Macaca fascicularis: one gene and its partners. The protein of the gene in region 1 purifies or fractionates together with the protein of each later gene. This does not show direct contact. Links are inferred from orthologs where the notes say so. Each region holds a gene or a part of one and is shown in the gene's direction. Other genes may lie near its edges.

Region 1 (2,309 bases):
GAGGATTGAAAAGGCAGGATTCACAGACCAAGTGTCTGAAGCTATTTGGTACCTGTCATTCAGGACCTCCAGCTCTATTTACTCTATCAAAGACCAAAGTTTCCAGAAACACCCTGTATTTCTCATAGATTGGAAAATTATTGATCCAGTTTCAGAAGATAAGTGTTAATTTTCTTTTGCAGAAAAATGTAAGGGGTGAATTCACTTATTATGAAATACAAGATAATACAGGGAAGATGGAAGTGGTGGTGCATGGACGACTGACCACAATCAACTGTGAGGAAGGAGATAAACTGAAACTCACCTGCTTTGAATTGGCACCGAAAAGTGGCAATAACGGGGAGTTGAGATCTGTAATTCATAGTCACATCAAGGTTGGAACTTTATGGGAACATCATTTTTCCAAAGTGGCAAATCGTTTTGTTTATACTTTAAGAAAACTAGACTGCTACTATTACACGGAGAGTTTAGCAAGTGGAAAAGGAACAAAGCCTTGCACTTTACTGGGTGTAAACTTCCCATCATTGTTTTTGAAGAAGGATACTTGTAATCATAATAAAAAAAATTAGAGAGACTTTCAAAGGCTATGATACCTAAGTTAAATAAGAAAGAATTGGTTGCTTTTACCACAGCATGGAGATAATTTAATCAGAATTTGCGTTTGGTTAAGGCACATTTGTTTCAAATGCTGGCTCTGTGATTTTCTAGTTGACTAAAGACTTAACACTAGGAACCTCAAGTTCATCATTTGTGAAATGGGAGAAATATTGTCTACCATAGAGGGTCATCAACTTAGCTCACAGCAGCCCTAAATTACCAAGAATGCATCTGAGCAAATCAGATCACAAAGGTACCTGCCTTTAGTGAGATACATACACTGGTTTACATCTGACAGAGGTAGTTGGGTCTACATAACAAAGTTCATGCTTTTTGCCACACTGACACACACATTCATGTGGGATTCTTGGAACACTAACAAAGGCTAATACTGGAAGGCAAACAATTCAAAACAAAGGCTGACATATTCAGGCACACACATGCTCTCAGATTGCTTCAGTTCTCGGGAACATCAGTCAAACATTCCAAATCTTCTTTGATAGCAATTGCACCAGGAATACCTTTTGTACTCTCTTCCTTCCTTTCTGCCCAATGAAAACCTTCCCCTCAACTCTAGTCATTGGGTGCACCAGCTCCTTTCTCTCTCCTGTTGTTCCCTGACATCTCCTGCTCTTTCACTTGCACTCATGCTAAGTAGGAGTGAATATCTTATTTCACGGTCCCAATTAAAGAGAGAGGCATGACTCAAAGGTCAAGAATTTATTAAAGGAGACAGATGGGAGTGAGAAAAGAATCATTTAGAAAGGAATAGGGGAAGAGATATGGTGCATGGGGAGGAGATACAGTGTGATTGAAGAGAGAAATGTGGGATCACCAGCATCTCAACTGGTCTGTCTTTATCTCTTTCTCCTTCAAGGTCATCAAGGCCAGGAAAAACAAGAAAGACATATTCAATCCTGATTCAAGTATGGAAACTTCACCAGGCTTTTTCTTCTAAAATCTGAATGTCATTGATGGTAATGTTTATGGAGATAGGTCTAAGTGCCTAAAAAATGTACATATACCTGGTTGAAATACGACACTATATATGCACACCATTATCATATATACCAGCTGTTAATCCTATGGAATGGGGTATTGGGAGTGCTTTTTAAATTCTTTATAGGTTTTTTTTTAATAAAATGTCATATGTTGTATCTTCAACTTCTATAATTTGAAAAAAAAAAAATAAACATTATCTTTTTTCTGAAAGGAATTCTTCCCCAGCAGTCTTTTTAATCCATCCATGAGTTGCTTAAAAGCAAATAGTTTGTGGTCTGCAAATTAGGGTGGGGCACACAGGCCTCAAGCAATATTTGGATTTATACTTTGGGTGTGATCTTTACAGGGTAAAGCCCTGGTCAAGAATGAACAGGCTGTGTTCTGCTGAAAGAAACCAGGCTGAAGGGGTAGGTAGGGTGAAATCCAGCTTGTGGTTCAGTTGCCAAGCGCTGTGTTATTGTTTTAGCCCAGAGCAGTAGATACCTTTTCAGAATTGGTCTCCTGGAGGGGGCATAATTGGGTAAATTTTCTGCCAAATAAGGTACCTTCTGGTGATGTGCATGAAGGCACTTGTCTGTGTTAGAGGAATATCTGGGCCTGCCTGATGTGAAATATCTGGTTTTATGCATTTCCTCAAACACCGACTGCTCTTCAGGCACTTTCGAACCATATTTCCTTTTCTCACAATCCACTATAGTGATCTGATCCAT
Region 2 (3,609 bases), on another chromosome or scaffold:
GGGGATATTATGCTGCTGGTATGCAGACCACACTTTAATAAGTATCAAGAGCTTGGATGACAATCAGAGAACACATCTACAGACTTAAAGCCAGAGTTAACATATCTCTTGTTCTTATACTTCCTAGTTGCATAACTTTAGATAAGTCATTTCACCTCTCTGAGCCCTCCTTGTTTCATCTGTGAAAATAATATAGTTAATACAATAATTAATAACATAGTTAATACTAATAGCTAACACATATTGAGTTCTTACTATGTAGCAGGAACTAATGTTTCATGTTTGTCAATTTATAAATAAGGCTTTAGGTCAAACATCCTCTCCAAGTAATTGTGACCTGATACCTGACTGTAGGCCGTTTAACTCAAGAACCACTGCAGAACACCATGCAGCACTGCCTCTTCAGCTTAGCTCCCAGAGCCTATGAAAACGAAATAATCGGTATTTAGCTAACTTGTATCGAGTACTCATATGCTTCAGGCCCTCGTTTAACCCTCCCTTGGAAGATATTAACTCATTTATCTTATAACCACCCTAGAAAGTATTTTTATCCTTATCTCACAGGCCTTAAAATGGCCTCAACAAGTAAAATTGCTGAAGCACCAACAGTGGCACAGTCAGGATTGGAACCTAGGCAGTGTAACTGCAGAGCCTGGCGGAGAGTGTAACTGCAGAGTGTAGCGTAGTTTCAGCATTGTACTAGACTAGGTTCTGTAACTGCAGAACCCCGGAGCTCCAAGTCAGCTAGCTCGCTAGGGTCGGTGCACACCTGCGCCCACTCGGGGCAGCTTCATTGCCAGAGCCACTGACTCCCAAAACAAAACCAATCTTCTACAATTAGCATCTGTGGGATGTTATGTTTCTCGTGCCACAACTAGGAACCCTGAAAGCAAATTATGACTCCGGTGAAACAATTTGGCCCTAAGAAGGGTGATTGTCTAAACATCTTCACAACGGATTTACACAGAAATTGTAACATGCACTTGATTGGAAACCCACACCACAGGCAGTCCCAGGAATTTGTACCCGCCCTGGTCCTGGACCGCCCCGCCGGATTGCGCCCCAAGACTGTCCCCGGACCACCATCCTAACACCACACCCTGAACTGCCCGCCCAGGACCGCCCCCTAGACCGCCCCCCAGGACCGCCCTCTCTAGACCGACAGCGAGACTGTCCCAGGACCGCCCCCTGGACCGCCCCCGCGCCCCGCTGCATCCTGGGAATCGTAGTCCCAATCCTGCTCTGGAACGAGTAGTGCTGGCTGCTGGCGCCAGCTCCGCCTCTATCAGGCGTCAGCCTAAGGTGCCGCTTCTAATCCTATCATCTCTCCATACCGCCCTCTGCCGGCCTTTCCTCTGGTTGCCCGGATGGCGAGCCGGTTCCGGGCGCTCCGGAAGCGAACCTTTCTTTTCCGGATTGGGCATCCCGGCGTCTGCACGTGGTTATGTTGCCGGAGTTTGGGCCGCCGCTGTAGGAAAAGTAACTTCAGCTGCAGCCCCAAAGCGAGTGAGCCGAGCCGGAGCCATGGAGGGCCAGAGCGTGGAGGAGCTGCTGGCAAAGGCAGAGCAGGACGAGGCAGAGAAGTTGCAACGCATCACGGTGCACAAGGAGCTGGAGCTGGAGTTTGACCTGGGCAACCTCCTGGCTTCGGACCGGAACCCCCCGATTGGACTGCGGTGCGCCGGACCCACGCCGGAGGCCGAGCTGCGGGCCCTGGCGCGGGACAATACGCAATTGCTCATCAACCAGCTGTGGCAGCTGCCCACGGAGCGCGTGGAAGAGACGATAGTGGCGCGGCTGCCGGAGCCCACCACACGCCTGCCGCGAGAGAAGCCTCTGCCCCGGCCGCGGCCACTTACACGCTGGCAGCAGTTCGCGCGCCTCAAGGGCATCCGTCCCAAGAAGAAGACCAACCTGGTGTGGGACGAGGTGAGCAGCCAGTGGCGGCGGCGCTGGGGCTACCAGCGCGCCCGGGACGACACCAAGGAATGGCTGATTGAGGTGCCCGGCAATGCCGACCCCTTGGAGGACCAGTTCGCCAAGCGTATTCAGGCCAAGAAAGAACGAGTGGCCAAGAACGAGCTGAACCGGCTGCGTAACCTGGCCCGCGCGCACAAGATGCAGCTGCCCAGCGCGGCCGGCTTGCACCCTACCGGACACCAGAGTAAGGAGGAGCTGGGCCGCGCTATGCAGGTGGCCAAGGTCTCCACCGCCTCTGTGGGGCGCTTCCAGGAGCGCCTCCCCAAGGAGAAGGCGCCCCGGGGCTCCGGCAAGAAGAGGAAGTTTCAACCCCTTTTCGGGGACTTTGCAGCCGAGAAAAAGAACCAGTTGGAGCTGCTTCGTGTGATGAACAGCAAAAAGCCTCAGCTGGATGTGACAAGAGCCACCAATAAGCAGATGAGGGAGGAGGACCAGGAGGAGGCCGCCAAGAGGAGGAAAATGAGCCAGAAGGGCAAGAGAAAGGGAGGCCGGCAGGGACCTGGGGGCAAGAGGAAAGGGGGGCCGCCCAGCCAGGGAGGGAAGAGGAAAGGGAGCTTGGGAGGCAAGATGAATTCCGGGCCGCGTGGCTTGGGTGACAAGAGAAAAGGAGGACAGCGCCCAGGAGGAACGAGGAGGAAGTAATAGTTTCTCACCGTCGGACCCGACTGAAAACCAAGGACTATAAATACTAAGTGTTAAGTTCTAGGTACTTGTACGGGGACTCAGAAGGACCTGGCCGCTGCCTTCATTGAGTTTAAAGGGACAGGATTGCCCTTCCCTCAAGAGAGTATGTAAGTGTTGGACTGCAGAAATTAATGTTTTTCCCACAACCGAGACTTTGGCTGGAGATTAAGAACTTATTTGAGGATTTAAGAATTAGGGAAATAATTTGGTGGAAACCAGGAATGAGTTCTATTCTTAAACAGCCTTTTTTATTTTTAACTTTGGATATAGGGTGAGGTAGAGTTGGCCATATTTCACACTTAAATTGACGTATATGTTTCTGCATTATTTTTACAACAAGCTTGTGTATCAGAGCGGGGGGTGCGGGGAAGGGAAAGAAAACAGTTTCAGAATTGGATAGGCAAGTGACTGTTTTAAAGGTTAAGTAATAAAGATGTCTTATCTAGTGTGGCTTTTAACTTTCTGACTATTGGGTAGAAATTGTACATGAAGCCAGTTACCGGGATACCTGGTACAGATTATTTTTGTTTACTTTCTAAAAAACACAAAGCAGGCCGGGCGCAGTGGCTCACTCCTATAGAGTCCCAGCACTTTGGGAGGCAGAGGCAGGCGGATCACCTGAGGTCAGGAGTTTGACACCAGCCTGGCCAACACAGTGAAACCCCATCTCTACTAAAAATTAAAAAATTAGCCGGACATGGTGGCTGGTACCTGTAGTCTCAGCTACTTGGGAGGCTGAGGCAGGAGGATCGTTTGAACCTGGGAGGCAGAGGTTGCAGTGAGCCCAGATCACGCCACTGCACTCCACTCCAGCCTGGGCAACAGAGGGACCTCAAAAAAAAAAAAAAGCAATTAAATTATAATAGTTTCAGTGAGACCACTTTTAAACTTATACTTCTTTTGGTATCAAATATAATATTCAAAGTAGTAAAACCAATGGCTGTT
Region 3 (4,134 bases), on another chromosome or scaffold:
AATCCTTAAGTGAGTTCACGTAGTTTAACTTGAATATCCAGTTATCTAATACTTTTAACCACTGCCACGACTACCATCCTAGCACAGGTGACTACAATAGCTTATAATCGTTCTCCCGTTTTCTACCGTTGCCTTCCTGTGGTTTAGTTTTTTGGCTAAGAGCCTTTTAAGAGGGCAAAGCACATTTTCTCATTTCCCTGTCCCCCACAAACTCCAGTGGTTTCTCATGATGACTAGAATTAAATTCTAAATCTGGTCCTTCACTTGCCCACTGCTTTGGCCACAGACTGCTTTGCCAGGACTTCTTCCCCATCTTGGAGCTTTTGTATGTACATCTTTGGCATGGGGGAGCATTTCACTCAGATACTGTCAGGGCTTATTCTTTATAAATTTTAGGTCCTTGTTTCATCCAGTGTCACCCCCTCCCCCGTCAGAGGCCTTCCGTGTTCGCTTCTAAAATAGTGCCCTTAGTTACTTCACTCACTGGATACTTTTGCTTAATAGCATTTAAAACAACCTAGAATTAACCACGAGGGGCAGTAACATTTTGGTCACTATCCCTTGTGAGCAGAATAGTGCATGGGCATATTGACATTTTGCTGAATGAACTAAAAAATTTCATGATGAATGTTGGATTAAATGGGTGGTGCTGCTGATGACATTAAAATTGGAAGTGTCTATCTGGGGAAGGGGTTTGCATTCAGACATCTGCGGTATCCAGGAGGAAACATCAAGCAGTTGATAATGCTTTTTGAAGTTCAGCGATCTGCCCCAAAGTCAAGAATGCAACACGCTATGTATAGGTTGTCCTTGTAGTCATGTTCTTGGAGTTTACTGGAAGCCCAGGGGGAGTAATTTCATTTGACTTTGCAGGCCTAATGGGAGCCTGCAAAGTACAGAGGCCGCAGTCATGGGTAGATTACAGGATTCCCATCTGTAAGATCAGTACTGTGGGGGTGGAGGGACAAGCGAGACCAATAAAATAGGTCTGTCGGCCGAGTTTCCTCAACTTACGGGGATCGGTTAAATTGAGCACAGATAGCTGGATCCGTCGCGTCTCGCGTACCCAGGCTGACGCTGAAAACCCTGGACCTAGTGGGCAGGCCCTGGGGGTGCGGACATCTATTTTGCCCTTCTCAGCCAAGGTACCTTAGTTCGGATATGATGAGCGTGAAGAGGCAAACCGCACCCAATACCCCAGCTACCGCGAGCTGTGAGACTAAAATGCGCAACCGCAGTGGACATCTAGACCCCAGCTCCGCCTCCGGTGGCTTACGTCATTACTCAGCGACAGCCTTGAGGAAGGTCCCTTCTCGCTCGCCATCGCTGCGACTGTAATGCGCTTGCGCACGTGCAGTGTACCAGTGCCTGAGAGCGGCGCGTGCCGCGGAGCCAGGCCAAGTCCGAGACCCGGTCACCAGGCATCCGCTAGGGGCAGTTAGTTGTGCCTTCTCTTTCGGAGTTGTTCCGTGCTCCCACGTGCTTCTGCTTCTCCACTGGCTGGGATCCGCCGGGCTCGGGACGCAGGTACCCAACGCGGGAGGGCCGCGTATGGATGCCAAGATCGGTGTCTGTGTTCTTCCTGTCCCGAGAGGGGACCGGCCTCAGGATGAAGGCTCTGCATCCGGACGGATACCTGGCCTACGCCGACTGTCCTCCACCCCTCTTTTGGGGCGCTCCTAGATAACAGAATCACCTCTCCAATACGCAGCCGCTCTGGGCGCGTGCTTCTCGAGCATCCTCGGGGATTGCGTGGCTTGATACTCACCCGCTAAGTGCCTGTAACTGGGGAGTCGGGTTGAATGGGTGGGTGACAACACTTGCTTTCCGTGGAGCTTGCCCGCAGTGCCCGGCGGCAGCTCTAAGCTTTAAACTTAGGTAATCTGATTCCAGATCCTTCCACGTTCTTAAATCCTTCACTGTGCACATTCCTTTATACTTTTTATTCAGCAATCACATTCAGGATTTGGTTTTGTTTGCCAGTGCACCTAAAGTGGTGCCTGCCACCTAGATGTTATGTGTAGATAGATAAATGAATGAGTGAGTGAAAAATAATCATCTCCTTCAAGGCCTTCCCCATCCAGGCCTTCCATGACAGCTTCAGCCTATAGTAATCTCAGCGCTTCCTTCATCTGACCCCGCACTATAGCTGTTTTTTTTACATCTAATTTTACCTGGTTCTTGTTCCTCATCTCATTCTTTTAAATACCTTCTTCACGAAGAATGCAAGCTTGAAGTCAAGGGCCTTGTGGTACTACTTCTGGGGCTCCCACAGTAGTTAGAGCAAAAGGCAGCCCCCATTAATTAGTTGTTGATTGATTTTTGCGGGATCTTTATGTGGCCGGCAACACAGGGTTTACAAGTTGAGAAGATTGGTGAACTGGGAAGAGCTCAGGTTTTGGAGTCGGGAAGACTTGAGTGTGAATTCTGTCTCTCGTTTTTCTGCGTTGGGGTATTTGAATTCTTTATACTTTCTCCTTTACTTATAAATTGGGGTCCTTGACAGTGATTTAGTGTTTTATAATAAGACATATGCTAAAATCTGTGTTTGGATTGGAAGGTTAGAAGGGACAGTTAAAGTGTGGTAAGCTAGGCCGGGCGCGGTGGCTCAAGCCTGTAATCCCAGCACTTTGGGAGGCCGAGACGGGCGGATCACAAGGTCAGGAGATCGAGACCAGCCTGGCTAATACAGTGAAACCCCGTCTCTACTAAAAAATACAAAAAACTAGCCGGGTGAGGTGGCGGGCGCCTGTAGTCCCAGCTACTCGGGAGGCTGAGGCAGGAGAATGGCGTAGACCCGGGAGGCGGAGCTTGCAGTGAGCTGAGATGCGGCCACTGCACTCCAGCCTGGGCGACAGAGCGAGACTCCGTCTCAAAAGAAAAAAAAAAAAAAAAAAAGTGTGGTAAGCTTCAGTAAATGAACTTGATGTTTGTAATGCAGTAGGTACCGGAATTTCTAAGTAGCATGTCACTTTTACATCGAAGTAGCATGTTACTTTTAGAGTGATATTTCTGACGTTTTTATTGTGATGATGCAATATTTTACTGTAGGTAATCAAGGAACTATTTTTTTTTTTTTTTTTTTTTTTTTTTTTGAGACGGAGTCTCGCTCTGTCGCCTAGGTTGGAGTGCAATGGCACACGATCTCGGCTCACTGCAACTTCCGCCTTCCGGTTTCAAGTGATTCTCTTGCCTCAGCCTCTCCTGCAGCTCCACCACCACTCCCGGCTAAGTTTTGTGTTTTTGGTAGAGATGGGGTTTCGCCATGTTGGCCAGGTTGGTCTCGAATTCCTGACTTCAGGTGATCCACCCGCCTCGGCCTTCCAAAGTGCTGGGCTTACAGGCGTGAACCACCACACCCGGCGAGAACTTTTGAGGTCTGTACAAAGGCTTCAGTATAGTTTTAAAATGAGGAAACATTTGGACACATTACATCATGGAATTATTCATTGATAGTTATTGATTTCCCTGACTTTATTAGTAACACGTGAATTTTTTAAGACTCCACAAAAACAAAACAACAAAAGTCCCACCATCTAGAAGTAGCTACTTTATACTTTGATACTTCCTTCCAGTCTTTTTTTTTCCCCCTCTGTTATGTGTATGCATTAGAAATGTTATGATACTTTATTCTGTCATGATTCTGTCATAAACATCTATATCCATATCCTTAGTTATTAAAAATGCTTGGCTGTGTGTGGTGGCTCACGCCTGTAATCCCAGCACTTTGGGAGGCTGAGGCGGGCGGATTGGGAGGTCAAGAGATCAAGACCATCCTGGCCAGCGTGCGCCTGTAGTCCCAGCTACTCGGGAGGCTGAGGCAGGAGGATTGGTTGAACCCAGGAGGCAGAGGTTGCAGGAAGCCAAGATCATGCCACTGCACTCCAGCCTGGCAACAGAGTGAGACTCCGTCTCAAAAACAAACAAAATGCTTTGGATATTTGGATATACCCTATGTATTTTAGTCATTCTCCTACTTTTTTGAATATACAAGTTTCTGATTTTTAAAAAGTCTTTAATAGAGGTGAATTACAGGCTTCCCAGGCTGAGGGGAGGTTTTCTCACCTCCCAAGCCCAAGGTTTCCTGAGTTTAAAACTAGAGACTGATGTCTTCCCTATGGAGCTCTTAGAGGG
Region 4 (3,971 bases), on another chromosome or scaffold:
AATGGAGGAATACTGGTAGTCTCTGAAGTTCTCATCCCAAGGGTTTAGTTCTCTCTCAACCAATATCTCAAAGGGGAGCTGTCAACTTCAGGGGGCATTTTGGAAATTTTTTTGGCTTTTTTTTTTAGTTGTCAAAATGGTGGAGAAAGGGGTGCTACTGGCAATCATTTATAGAATGACTCTGGGGGTGAAGGAGAGATGACACCTGTGCCCATTTAGGCACCAACCAGAAAACGCACTATGGTGGTAGGGGAGACAGGCACATTCCTATATCCTGTGTGTACTGATGGGTGCAGGGGCAATGACAGCCAGCGTGGATTCCATGCCTACCTCCTGCAAAGAGCTTTACAAGCATTGTTTCATTTAATCCTCTCAACAGCACTGTGAAGTAGCTTCGAATTTGTCCATTTTACAGATCACAAAACTGAGGTGAAGTCACATGTGTAGGTCACACCTATAAAGCTAAAACGGTGGAAGTGAAATCTGAGTCCAGAGCTTGTGTACTTGGCTACACTGCTATCGGGAGATTACCGCCGCCCCCACTGCCCCACATTCTGCGACTCCCAAATTCAATGACCCGATTAAAAAATGCCCGAGGTCCCTGCATTTTTGAGCTTTCTCCTACCTGAGCATCTTGGTTCGTAGTCATCGGGGTCCTCAAGGACCCCTCCCCGCGTCTTCTTCCCTCCAGATCTGGACCCCCCGGCGAGGGCGCGGGGGAGCGCGGTGCATCCGGGATCCGCGTCAATTTGCAGCCCGGAATGCCCGGGGCCCCGGACCGCCGGCAGCCCAGGCCGTGCCGGGGCACCGCGCGCGGACCAACTCACCCGAGGAGCTGGCACAGGCGACGTGTGAGCGGCGCGCGCATCCAGAAAACCAGAACCCAGCACCTAGCACCCAGCAAACAGGGAGCAGCCAGCAGCACTGCGCACGCGGCCCGGACCATTCGCGCCAAGGGATGGGGGGAGTCCGCCCAGGGGCGGGCGCCACGCCCCTGACGCCCAGGAGGTACCTAAACACGGCGAGGGGCCTCTGGTGCCACTCACTCAGGGGCTGGTGTACTAGGCCGCCCAGGGCCGCAGACACTGGCGAAAGCGCAGCCGAGGTCACATGGCCATCGCGCCTCCCCGCCCCAAGCAGTTGGTGCGCGCCGCAGGCCACGCCCCCTTTTGCGTTCCCAGCGCGAGGCCCGAATGGCGGCAGGCAGGCGCCCGGCGGCCGGCCCTCGGTCGAGAGCTGCCATGGCCCAGTGGAGGAAGAAGAAGGGGCTCCGGAAGCGCCGAGGCACGGCCTCCCAGGCCCGCGGCAGCGACTCGGAGGACGGCGAGTTTGAGATCCAGGCGGAAGATGACGCCCGGGCCCAGAAGGTAGGCGCTTGGGGCTGGGACGCACTTTGGGGCCCGAGACCCGGCTCCCGGCAGCGCCCCGAGGCCTCAGTTTCCCCAGCTGGGGAGTGGGCTCCGCAGAGAGTGAGGAGGGAGGCTGCCAGCCCGAGGACCGGTCTTGGGACCGCCGGCCTGAGCACGTGTCTCGGGGCTTGTCAGGCTTAGGGTCCCGCGGCTGGAGCCTGCGGGGCCTTCCTGCCGGGTTTTGGTCGCGCGTCTCTCATTGGCTGCCTCCTGCACATGGGGCGGATCCTGGTTGCCTTTCGCCCAATGAAAAGTGCCGGTGCAGAAAATCTGACTTTGAGAGTTTGGAGCGTTCTTGGGAGGTTGAGTTAAGGGAAGGACGGACTGCGTGGCTTGAGACAGTGACGCCCCCAAACCTCTGGGAAGCTAATTTAAAAATTAGCATGAGCCCGGCCAGTTTGTGTTTGTTGACCATTTACTATGTGCCAGGCTCCATGCTAAGAGCTGTACGAGCCTTATTATGTAATCCTCACACCAACGCTGTGCTAACACCACCGGCAACTGTCATCTTCATTTTTCCACAGGAGGAAATTGAGGCCTCGAGGGTTAAGAAATAGTCAAAGGCCTGGTGTAGTGGCTACACGCCTGTAAACCCAGCACTTAGGGAGGCTGAGGTGGGAGGATTGCTTGAGGTCAGGAGTTCAAGATCAGCCTGGGCAACATAGGGAGGCCCCCGACTCTACAAAAAATTAAAAAATGAGGATGGCCGCAGTGGCTCAAGCCTGTAATCCCAGCACTTTAGGAGGCCGAGGTGGGCGGATCACTTGAGGTGGGGAGTGCAAGACCAGCCTGGCCAACATGGTGAAACCCTGTCTCTACTAAAAATACAAAAATAGCCAGTTGTAGTGGCACGCGCCTGTAATCCCAGCTACTAGGGAGGCTGAGGCAGGAGAATCGCTTGAAACTGGGAGGCAGAGGTTGCAGTGAGCCAATATCGCACCACTGCACTCCAGCCTGGGTGACAGAGCAAGACTCTGTCTCAAAAAAGAAAAAAAAAAAATTAGCCTGGCGTGGTGGCGCCTGCCTGTGGTCCCAGCTCCTACAGAGGCTGACATGGGAGGATCACTTGAACCTGGGAAGCGGAGACTACAGTGAGCAGTGGCTACACACACACACACACACACACACACACACACACACACACACACACACACACAAAAAGGAGATCCCAGCTTTACAAAAAAAAGAAAGAAAGAAACTTGACCAAGACCCTACAGCTTGTGAGTACAAGAGCCAGGAGATTCAAACTTGGGACTGTCTGATTCCAAGGCCTGTGCCCTTTCCATTACTGAATGCTACATGTATGCACATGAGGGGACAGGTGTGAGCACCAACGGGGCAGAAGGGTTTTGGCCATTATTTCCCACAGTCCTGTTCCCAGCAGGTGCCTGGCACCAGGTAGGCTCAGGGCAAGGAGATGAGTAAGTGGGCATTTATATGAAGAGAAAGGATCAAACCCCAAGGCAGGAACTGGAGGAGACCTCATCCCACCATCTCCCTCCCCTTCCAGCCTAGCCAGCTCCTGGCACACAGTAGGTGCTCAACAAATGTAGAGAAACTACTAAAGGTAATGAACAGCACAGGTGGGCAGAGGTAGTGAGTACCAAAGAAGAGGAGTCTGTGTGTAGTTCAGACCAAGGGCGTTCTCACGGCACCGCCCTGTGTTCAAATCTGGCCCAACCTTGCACTGGCTGTGGGACATTGGAGAGGTTGCTTAACTTCTCTGTGACTGTTTCCACATCTGTAGAAGGCAAGTAAATGATTATATATGTTTCAAAGATTGTTGGCCAGGTGCCATGGCTCATGCCTGTAATCCCAGCACTTTGGGAGTTGGAGGAGTGAGGATCACTTGATGTCAGGAGTTCAAGACCAGCCTGGGCAACATGGTGAGACTCTGCATCTACAAAAAATACAAAAATTAGCTGGGCATGGTGCTGTGTGCCTGTATTCCCAGCTACTTGGGAGACTGAGGTAGGAGGATCACCTGAGCTAGGTGAGCTGTGATTGCCCCACTGCACTCCAGCCTGGGTAACAGAGTGAAACTGTGTCTCAAAAAAAAAAAAAAAAAAAAGTTGAAAAGACGAAAGGAGGCTGGGCGTGGCGGCTCATGCCTGTAATCTGAGCACTTTGGGATGCCAACGTGAGTGGATCACTTGAGGTCAGGAGTTTGAGACCAGCCTTGCCAACATGGTGAAACCCCGTCTCTACTAAAAATACAAAAATTAACCAGGCCTGGTGGCGCGTGCCTGTAGTCCACGTGCCTGTAGTCCCAGCTAGTTGGGAGGCTGAGACAGGAGAATTGCTTGAACCTAGGAGATGGAGGCTGCAGTGATCCAAGATCCTCCCACTGCACTCCAGCCTGGGTGACTGAATGAGACTGTCTCAAAAAAAAAAAAAAGACCAAAGGACATGCTGTTCATACATGCTGTTCAGTAGCTATTGCAGGTGCCTGTGTGTCCCAGGCACCTTGTTTTCATGTGCTTAGAGCAGGGGTTGACCGACCTATCAAGGGCCAGATGGTAAATCTTTTTTTTTTTTTTTTGAGACGGAGTCTGGCTCTGT

What was found.
Region 2: the proteins of gamma-interferon-inducible protein 16 (region 1) and RRS1 purify together in Homo sapiens (affinity purification with mass spectrometry; 3 studies listed by BioGRID and IntAct, with this or other methods). This does not show direct contact. The link is inferred for Macaca fascicularis from reciprocal best matches to the Homo sapiens genes IFI16 and RRS1.
Region 3: the proteins of gamma-interferon-inducible protein 16 (region 1) and NAT10 purify together in Homo sapiens (affinity purification with mass spectrometry; 3 studies listed by BioGRID and IntAct, with this or other methods). This does not show direct contact. The link is inferred for Macaca fascicularis from reciprocal best matches to the Homo sapiens genes IFI16 and NAT10.
Region 4: the proteins of gamma-interferon-inducible protein 16 (region 1) and DDX54 purify together in Homo sapiens (affinity purification with mass spectrometry; 3 studies listed by BioGRID and IntAct, with this or other methods). This does not show direct contact. The link is inferred for Macaca fascicularis from reciprocal best matches to the Homo sapiens genes IFI16 and DDX54.

The regions. Positions count from the first base shown.
Region 1 is NC_088375.1:102,032,000-102,034,308, reverse strand, and holds the end of gamma-interferon-inducible protein 16, read left to right. Parts: intron 1-182; coding exon 183-374; intron 375-1,474; coding exon 1,475-1,555; 3' UTR 1,556-1,809; downstream 1,810-2,309.
Region 2 is NC_088382.1:76,416,294-76,419,902, forward strand, and holds RRS1 (ribosome biogenesis regulatory protein homolog), read left to right. Parts: upstream 1-1,406; 5' UTR 1,407-1,524; coding exon 1,525-2,622; 3' UTR 2,623-3,109; downstream 3,110-3,609. UniProt on the Homo sapiens protein: Involved in ribosomal large subunit assembly. May regulate the localization of the 5S RNP/5S ribonucleoprotein particle to the nucleolus.
Region 3 is NC_088388.1:31,470,425-31,474,558, reverse strand, and holds the start of NAT10 (RNA cytidine acetyltransferase), read left to right. Parts: upstream 1-1,334; 5' UTR 1,335-1,806; intron 1,807-2,358; exon of another isoform or gene 2,359-2,452; intron 2,453-4,134. UniProt on the Homo sapiens protein: RNA cytidine acetyltransferase that catalyzes the formation of N(4)-acetylcytidine (ac4C) modification on mRNAs, 18S rRNA and tRNAs.
Region 4 is NC_088385.1:120,109,702-120,113,672, reverse strand, and holds the start of DDX54 (ATP-dependent RNA helicase DDX54), read left to right. Parts: upstream 1-1,171; 5' UTR 1,172-1,193; coding exon 1,194-1,367; intron 1,368-3,971. Other genes in the region: RITA1 (RBPJ-interacting and tubulin-associated protein 1), read right to left, coding at 626-633.